3 linked regions of the Kluyveromyces lactis genome follow. The protein of the gene in region 1 interacts with the protein of each later gene in a pairwise test. Links are inferred from orthologs where the notes say so. Each region holds a gene or a part of one and is shown in the gene's direction. Other genes may lie near its edges. The genes, in order: VPS71, ARP6 and HTZ1.

Region 1 (2,751 bases):
GGCTGGCGCTTATCAACAATTGCAATTAGAACCAGTATCTTCCTCCTCTTTAGAAACCATCCACAAATCCTCATTCGTCTTATGTTTGGATCAGGACACTGCTCCAATAACTTTGGAAGATAAGTCTAGAGTGTGCTGGCACGGAGACGGAACCAATAGATTCTTTGACAAGCCTTTGCAATTTTTTGTTACTGGTAACGGTTTCTCCGGTTTCTTGGCAGAACATTCGAAAATGGATGGTACTCCAACTTTGTTTTTAAACCATTACGTCGTGGATCAATTAACAAAATTGAATCCTTCAGCGTTCGTCGAGTCCTTACATTCCAACGTATCAGCTTACCCTTCTGTGAACAGTGAACATCTACCATTTATAATTACACCAACCTTGAGAAATACTATCGAGAGTGCAAAATTGCAATTTATAACAACAGTGGAACGTGAAGATTTACGCGTTTGGCACTATAATAGGTATGGTAAGAGAATTGTGAAAACATTTAAAGTGTCACCAGATGCTTACATTCAACAGGTGATTCAACTTGCTGTTTTCAAGTATTTGAAGAAACAACTACCAACGTACGAAGCTGCTTCTACCAGAGCGTTTTTCCAAGGTAGAACTGAAACTGGTAGACCGGTCACTGAATCCTCTTCCAAGTTCGTTAAAACATGGGAATCACCTACTTCTACTACTGAAGAGAAAATTGCTGCTTTCTACGATGCTGCCAAGGATCATGTTGAATATTTGAAGATGGCCTCTAACGGTGAAGCCGTTGATCGCCATTTCTTTGGGTTGAAAAACATGGTTCATGAATCTGATGAGCCAGTACCTTTGTTCCAAGACGCATTGTTCAAATACAGTTCTACTTGGTTGATTTCAACTTCACAATTATCCTCTGAAAACTTTGAATGTTACGGTTGGTCTCAAGTATACGATAATGGATTTGGCTTAGCCTATATGATCAATAACGAATTTTTGCACATTAATATCACCAACAAACCAGAAGCTTCTGGATTTAGTGTTGACGAACTACACTATTATTTAACTAAGGCGGCAGATGAAATGTATGAAACTTTGTCTCTACACAACTCTGCCAAGGCCAAACTATGATATAGCACAGGCACCAGTTTATATTGTTTTAGTACGAGTCCATTATATATGATATTCTAACCACTTTATGATCTATTATGAATTACTGAACAAGGATGCACTGGCAACAATTGGTACCATCATCAACCATACGTTAACGGCCTATCTTACCCAATGATTGACATCTTTTCTCTCCCTTCAGTTACTGTTGTTCGCATATCTACCATATTATATATCAAATGAGAATATGGCAAAGAAATTTAAAATCGACCTTATCATAGTGAGTATACCGAGGAAGACACTTTATCACTGGATAAAAGAAGGAAGAAGCGTGCGAAGAGTGTCAATATGAGGTCGGTAGAAGAAATCAATGTGAGGACGTATAATCCTAACATTTATTTCAGCAGTTTGAACCAAACTCATCAAAGTGCAAGGGTCTCGAAACAGTCTCAAACCTCAGCAAGAAACAAGAGAGTCAATTATTCATTGGCTGATTTGGAGGCAAAGATATATAATCAGCCCAAGGGAAGCGATAAAGACGACATAAATCAACTGACAGGATCTGATAAGCATGCCTTGCCTGATTTGTTACGATCTAATAAGCGGTTCATGGAACTTGACACAGAAAACTATCAAGATCTTCGTGAAGTTACAACTCTTCTCAGTAACATCACGGGGCTGAACAAAGATAAGATCGATCAAACAAGCACCGGTATATTATCTGAGCAACAATCAGGCTCAGGTTCATCCAGACAGAGGATGGCCAAGTTCGATTTGCCCAAGTCTATGAATTTATTGTATAAATCAAGCAAGCCGCCTCGGAAATCAAAGAAAAGTTCCAACAGAATATCAGCACTAAGGAAAGTACTTTCAAGCAGAAGGTCTTTACACTCCTATCTAGAAACTTTAGACCAAGTGAACCACACACTCATTTATAGTAACGTTCAAAACAAGAAGTTTTTCAGGGTCTTACCAATGATCGTCACCTGCTCTATGTGTGGTGGTTACTCCAGTATATCTAACTGCGTTGTTTGCAATGACAAGATATGCAGTCTTCGCTGTTATGAATTACACAGTGAAACAAGATGTAACAACTGAGTTTGCTGCTAGCTGAAAAAACTTAACAGCTACTCTCTTTGAACCTCAAAACACTGCTCATGATCCCGTGTTTGTTGCTTCATGTTGATGTCTTTGTAAATACTGATTATAGTATAAAATCGAGGCCATTATCTTTTTTTTTTCATTCTTTCACTTTAAACAATTTTAATACCGATGAAAGAGAAGACTTTAACTTAACTATTTGTTATCGAACAAGACACTATTTGAACTCCTTGCTGTTGGTATTTAGCAGTACGCATCATATTCCATTAATATATCAGACCTTGAAGAATCCTTCACGCTGGTTTTTGGTTTTTATTCTGAGCTATTCTAGTTGAAATCAGTGAAGGTATTGGCGTGGATTGAGAGGTGCGGAAGTTATGTCGAGCAGAGATGATGAAAGTGAGGATGTTCTTGTGATTATTGATGGGAAAACATTTCCTAATATACAAAAGAACGAATTGGACGAGATATCTTTAACGGCATTTATGCTAGGAGTGATTTTTGGTGTATCCCTTATTACATTATGCCTGTCTCCTTTTTGGAACTTCAACATATACATGATCTCA
Region 2 (3,219 bases), on another chromosome or scaffold:
TCAAGATTCTGCTTCTCTTTATCTACCAATTCGAACCTATTTTCTTTCTCCATGCAAACCTCATTCAAAGTTTCTATCTCTTCTAGACACTTCTCGATTTGCGGTTTGAATTTAGCTGTGCCAATTATATCTTCCAAATATTCCAAAAGTCCATCATCGTTGTCCTTTTCAGCCTTGGCCTTCATCTGGGCAATCGATTCCACTTCACCTTGAAGAATCAAGAATCTTTTATGGTCCAAATCAATTCCTTCCTCTTTTAAAAGTCTTGTTACTTCAGTATAATTACTCTCTTTCCCGTTAACATAGTACTTTGAAGAGTTGTTTTTGAATGCTCTTCTTTCAACCACCATTGTACCAGCCGATGGAAGAATCTTGGTTTCACCATTATCTGTATCATGAACGTAATGAAAATGAATTTGGACAGAACAGGATGCCAGACTCGGGAACTGCTCAGATTTGTGAATTAACTCGGAGAGTTTCCCTTGCCTCATTTTATTGGCTCTAAAACCGAAGACAAAAAGCATTGAATCGATAACATTAGATTTTCCTGATCCATTAGGACCAACAACTGCAGAAAATGATGTGTGGAATGGTCCAATCTCTTGAATACCAGCATACGACTTGAAATTATTCAAAACCAATTTATCAATGCATAATCGCTGTGAGGTCTGAGTATTGGCCTCGTGCATCTTTTGTAATTCAAGTCGTGTACTTTTTTTGGGTGAAAGTCTGATCAATTCAAGCTTTCTTGTCGGAGATCTAGTAGGTGATCGCGTAGGAGACCTAGGCGGAGACTGACTGTATTCGCGCCCTCGTACAGCATGTGCCGTAGGAGGTTGCAGACTCGGTGGATCCATTGTATTAGAAGCGGCAGTAGTAGCCTGTGAATTAGAGACGGCATATTTTTTTTCAGGTGAGCCCAAAACCAACTTCCTTGGCGTCCTTGTTGGCGATTGTGATACTCTTTGCCTCTTTATTTCTGGTGAGTCTCCCAGATGCGGCACAGAACTGTCTGCAGTCATATCAATCAAGCTATAGTGCAGCTACAGGAGGCAACCAGAATAATAGCTTTACAGGTCGAGGTGCTCGTTGGCTGTGGTGGTTTGCCATCGCCATCGCCATCATGATAGAATATTAAAAGTTCTTTGGTTTACATCATGATTGTTTGGTAAACAAACAATCTTTTCAAAACATGAAATTTGAAAAATAACAAAAAGGAAATGAAGAAAAATTGTAGCACTACTACAGAAAAACACAGGCAATCTGCATGCGCGCTTCTTTGAATGTCCTGATGATTTGCCAAATTGGCTATATGGGATAATTTAATGGGAATAATATAATCATACATCTATTAAAATGAGTGAGCCTGTATTGGTGATCGATAACGGATCGTATGAAATCAAATTTGGTGAGAGTGGATGGGATCAGCCACTGCGAGCGTTAAACTGCTTAACCAAGGACAAATACTCTCGCTTCCACCTTTCAAATCAAACGAAGAAAATGCGGGATATATCGCAGGCTTTAATAAGAAGGCCTCACGAATTGGGTCAACTTGTATCATGGGAATTAGAAAGTGAAGTATGGGATTACTGTTTTTACAACGAGGACGACTTCCATTGGAACTTGACACACGACAATGACACTAAAGATCATCATTTAGTAGTAAGTGAGACGCTCATGACGATACCAGAGCTTTCGAAAAACATGGACCAGGTAATATTCGAAGAATATGATTTCAAATCTATGTTCAAAGGACCTGTAGCACAATATATTCCTTTTTACCAGGGTCAATATCAAGATGACGCAATGACCGCTGCTGAAGACAAGAAAACTAGTTCATACAAGGACTTCCAATTAGTTATAGACTCGGGGTTTAACTGCACATGGGCTGTTCCTATAATAAAGGGAGTACCGTATTACAAAGCTATCAAGAAACTCGACATCGGTGGCAGATTTTTAACAGGCCTATTACAGGAAACCATTTCGTTTAGGCATTACAATGTGATGGAAGAGACAATACTTGTAAATAACATCAAGGAGCAATGTACTTTTGTTCCCCCTGAATCATATTTTTCAAGTTTCCACAACAAAATGAACACAAAGGTCGAGTATGTACTACCGGACTTCCAAACGAGTTTCTTGGGGTACGTTAAGAAACCAGGTAAAGAAAAGCTCACGGATGATGCACAGACCTTATTACTCACAGATGAAGTCTTCTCGGTACCAGAAACGTTCTTTCATCCTGAAATTGCACAGATTTTAAAACCAGGAATCGTCGAAACAATTCTAGAATGCATCAACATGTGTCCCGAAGTCGTCAGACCATTACTTGTTGCCAATATAGTATGCACCGGAGGCAATTTTAACATTCCAAACTTCCACGAGCGATTACAAACAGAATTACAAAGACAATGTCCGATAGACTGGAGCTGCAAAGTACATTCACCCCAGGAAAAGGACAAATCTCTACACGGATGGGAAAGCATGAAAGACTTTGCCAACTCGGATCAGTTCCGCTCAGCAAGGGTCACAAGAGAAGAATATCTAGAACACGGGCTCGATTGGTGCACCAAGAACAGATTTGGCTACCAACAGTGGTTGTAACCATGTGATCGCAACCACGGCTTTCGTGTATATAGAGTATATATGCATAGGTTCAATTTCACAAACGCTCACGTGATATCAAATGAAACTGCTACTGCTACGGTATTATTTTTTAGTAGCGGAAATTCAAATCCGGGTAAAAAAACTATGATCCCCTCCTGCCTCTATGAAGTACCCCTATATTTCACATACGGAGAAACCACACATACTCATATACACAAAAACAAGACAACTTGATGGAGCAAAGCTCAGGAGGGTAGAGTATCTGCAATGCGCTCATTACAGGTCGCTTCTCGAGTGTTCTTTAGTACTCTCTCACATGCAACGCGCTTTGCACAATTGTTCCGAACTTCCGTAATCCTCTGAATTCCCATGATTGCTCTATTTGGCTTCGGAAAGAAATAAGGAAGAAAGCCAAGAAAAAGAAAAAAGATAAAGCTTGTTTAGAAAGAGCTGTGAAAGGAAAGCTTATTACGTATTTTTTGATATATTAAGGTAAATGTTACACAGAGACAATCTATTCTTTTACTTATAGTTAGAAATCGCAATCGGTTATATAAAAGCACAGGGCTAAATGGTTTAGTGTTCATTTCAATTCAACTTGTCACTGAACGT
Region 3 (2,489 bases), on another chromosome or scaffold:
CATTTGTCGGAGACCATGCGTTAACGGCATCTAGATGTAGGGCAACCGAACATACCAGAAACAACAGATTAACTGAGTTCAAAAACCACATCAGAAAAGGAATAAACTAATCTTTAACTCGGAACAATTCTATAGATAACCTAACTCAGAGTTGATGTCTGCGCCCTTCACGATAATACTATGTACAGAAGTGACACACTCCAAAAGATTCAATAAAATAATCGTTTGATTTTACCGAGTGTGGACTTTCTATCGTAAAAGCTGATTGTTTAACTGCTTTAAGTTATGGACTTGGAAATCAACTTAATTGGGTCGAGTTAGGACTCAAGATGTAGATGAGAGAAACGGTAGCATTGTTATATATTCACCAGGTTCCATAGTTTATTGATTTATGACAAAATATTAGCTGAGCATTTAAACTTCTATATTTTCCACTTTTCTTCACGCAAAGTGTGTAGGATTGTTATAGTTAGAATTCATCACGCATGCCCGCAAAAAAATGTCTAAAAAAACGCACGGAAAATACAATCTATGTATTACCATAGTAACGACGCACCTAAGAAATGGTACAAGTGCATTATTATCAAAGGGTTTCCAAAAATTTTGTTAAGTAAATGCCCTTCCCCCTATAATAGACGCTGCATGAAGCCCCTATTAGTTGGAGGAAAGGAGGTAAAAGAGGCTGGCAATACAGACAAATTTTCGGATGCACGTACAAAAATTGGAACATTAGTCTAACTGAAAATGCTCAGTTGTCAAGCATTCACTTTAAAGCCCTTTTACTATTCCATTCGAAAAACGAATTCCGGCCCTCATTTAAAATTAAAGGGGACACACAGTGAAAATACCATCATTGCAGTAACACCACTACCATATGTTCTTCGAAATGAGCCGGAACGTTTCTTAAATCCATCAGTGGCTCCTACGCTCTTTAAGGGTACAAGGTTGCAAGCATCTCGAGTTCATAAATAGTTACCCTGCCATGCTGTCTCGTCTGAGGGAAAAGGAAAAAAAAAACAACCGGTAGAATAGCAGGCGGCAAAAAAAAAAAAATCAAGAAAGCGGCAAACTGCACTTCAAAGCTAGACCAATCAAACCGTATGTTCACCTTTGACAACTCCAGACATGTCGATGCCTGTATATCTTCATTATTTCAAATACCTTCGTCCCTCCCGGTTCTTCCTAGCCCTTACCCCAAATCTTATTACTTGTAGCAAATCTCACAATATGAAAGTAAGAGAGGAAACACGAAACTTTCAGACAGAAAAATAAAAATAAAAAATAAACATCAAAACAAACAAAAACAAATCGATATCAACTTAACTTAACTTAACTTCACATAAGTTGAATATTGGACCAGAGGGACTAAGAAAAGATAGAATCTGCTGTTTGCTTTCAAGTTTGAGATATATACGATCAGACATTGCAAGAAAGAGCATATTAAAGTTATTATAGGAGAAACAACATGTCAGGAAAAGTACACGGTGGAAAGGGTAAGTCGGGAGCCAAAGACAGTGGTTCATTGAAATCACAATCACATTCTGCTAGAGCTGGTCTTCAGTTTCCGGTTGGGAGAGTGAAGCGTTATTTGAAGAGAAATGCTGCTGGAAGAACCCGTGTTGGGTCCAAGGCTGCTATTTACTTGACTGCTGTTCTTGAGTATTTGACTGCTGAAGTTTTGGAATTGGCTGGTAACGCTGCTAAAGATTTGAAGGTGAAGAGAATTACCCCAAGACATTTACAACTTGCTATCAGAGGTGATGATGAATTAGACTCCTTGATCAGAGCCACTATCGCTTCTGGTGGTGTTCTACCTCATATCAACAAGGCTTTGTTGTTGAAAGTGGAAAAGAAGCATAAATGAAGCGTGAAAATTGTATCAATTTGAATGAAGTTTAATGAGACTAAGCGCTTAAAAACAGCTCTCTATTGTTATTTCATTATTATATTTCTTCTACTTTTTGACTCTAACTGTAATCATATCCCAGGGTGAAGGGTTGTATATTTTCATCTCCACTTCCCCCCCCTCTCTTTTCCCTTGTCGTGATGGTACACTACTAATTCACCGCATTATCTTATCTCAAAATATCAAAAGTGCAATTTAACCCTCATCTATTCCATTTCCATATTTTTATTAAACAGTTATGTATATGTAACATCTATAATCCAATTCCTACTTTTACTCATGACCTGTTAATATTAGAGCTTGTGTTTACGTCTATACTCAAATACTTATTCATTCCAGAATAGGACTATATACAAGTTTGTTCCGTTAGAATATCGGTGGTCCAATATCCTTTTTGTATTTTCATTTATGTGAGGAGAGTTTTGACTGAATTAATTTTAGTTCTTCCTTAAGACTTTGACATGATTTTATTTGGTCGCTTTGGGTCTTAGTCGTTGATCTCAGTTCTTCGATTTCCGATTGTAAAAAAGCAATATCTTGAGTGACCTGTTCACGTCTATCCAGCTCCTTTTGACGCTGTCTT

Evidence for each region.
Region 2: the proteins of VPS71 (region 1) and ARP6 interact in binary tests that used the Saccharomyces cerevisiae proteins (3 or more experiments, as listed by UniProt). The link is inferred for Kluyveromyces lactis from reciprocal best matches to the Saccharomyces cerevisiae genes VPS71 and ARP6.
Region 3: the proteins of VPS71 (region 1) and HTZ1 interact in binary tests that used the Saccharomyces cerevisiae proteins (3 or more experiments, as listed by UniProt). The link is inferred for Kluyveromyces lactis from reciprocal best matches to the Saccharomyces cerevisiae genes VPS71 and HTZ1.

The regions. Positions count from the first base shown.
Region 1 is NC_006037.1:191,061-193,811, forward strand, and holds VPS71 (Vps71p), read left to right. Parts: upstream 1-1,432; coding exon 1,433-2,182; downstream 2,183-2,751. Other genes in the region: carnitine O-acetyltransferase CAT2, read left to right, coding at 1-1,105; STE14 (protein-S-isoprenylcysteine carboxyl O-methyltransferase), read left to right, coding at 2,563-2,751. UniProt on the Saccharomyces cerevisiae protein: Participates in the catalytic exchange of histone H2A for the H2A variant HZT1, an euchromatin-specific factor, leading to chromatin remodeling and changes in transcription of targeted genes. Indirectly involved in vacuolar protein sorting.
Region 2 is NC_006042.1:1,755,914-1,759,132, reverse strand, and holds ARP6 (Arp6p), read left to right. Parts: upstream 1-1,356; coding exon 1,357-2,604; downstream 2,605-3,219. Other genes in the region: condensin subunit SMC4, read right to left, coding at 1-1,022. UniProt on the Saccharomyces cerevisiae protein: Component of the SWR1 complex which mediates the ATP-dependent exchange of histone H2A for the H2A variant HZT1 leading to transcriptional regulation of selected genes by chromatin remodeling. Involved in chromosome stability.
Region 3 is NC_006039.1:522,370-524,858, reverse strand, and holds HTZ1 (histone H2AZ), read left to right. Parts: upstream 1-1,465; coding exon 1,466-1,864; downstream 1,865-2,489. Other genes in the region: PLB3 (lysophospholipase), read right to left, coding at 1-91; KLLA0_C05896g (OPA3 family protein), read right to left, coding at 2,309-2,489. UniProt on the Saccharomyces cerevisiae protein: Variant histone H2A which can replace H2A in some nucleosomes. Nucleosomes wrap and compact DNA into chromatin, limiting DNA accessibility to the cellular machineries which require DNA as a template.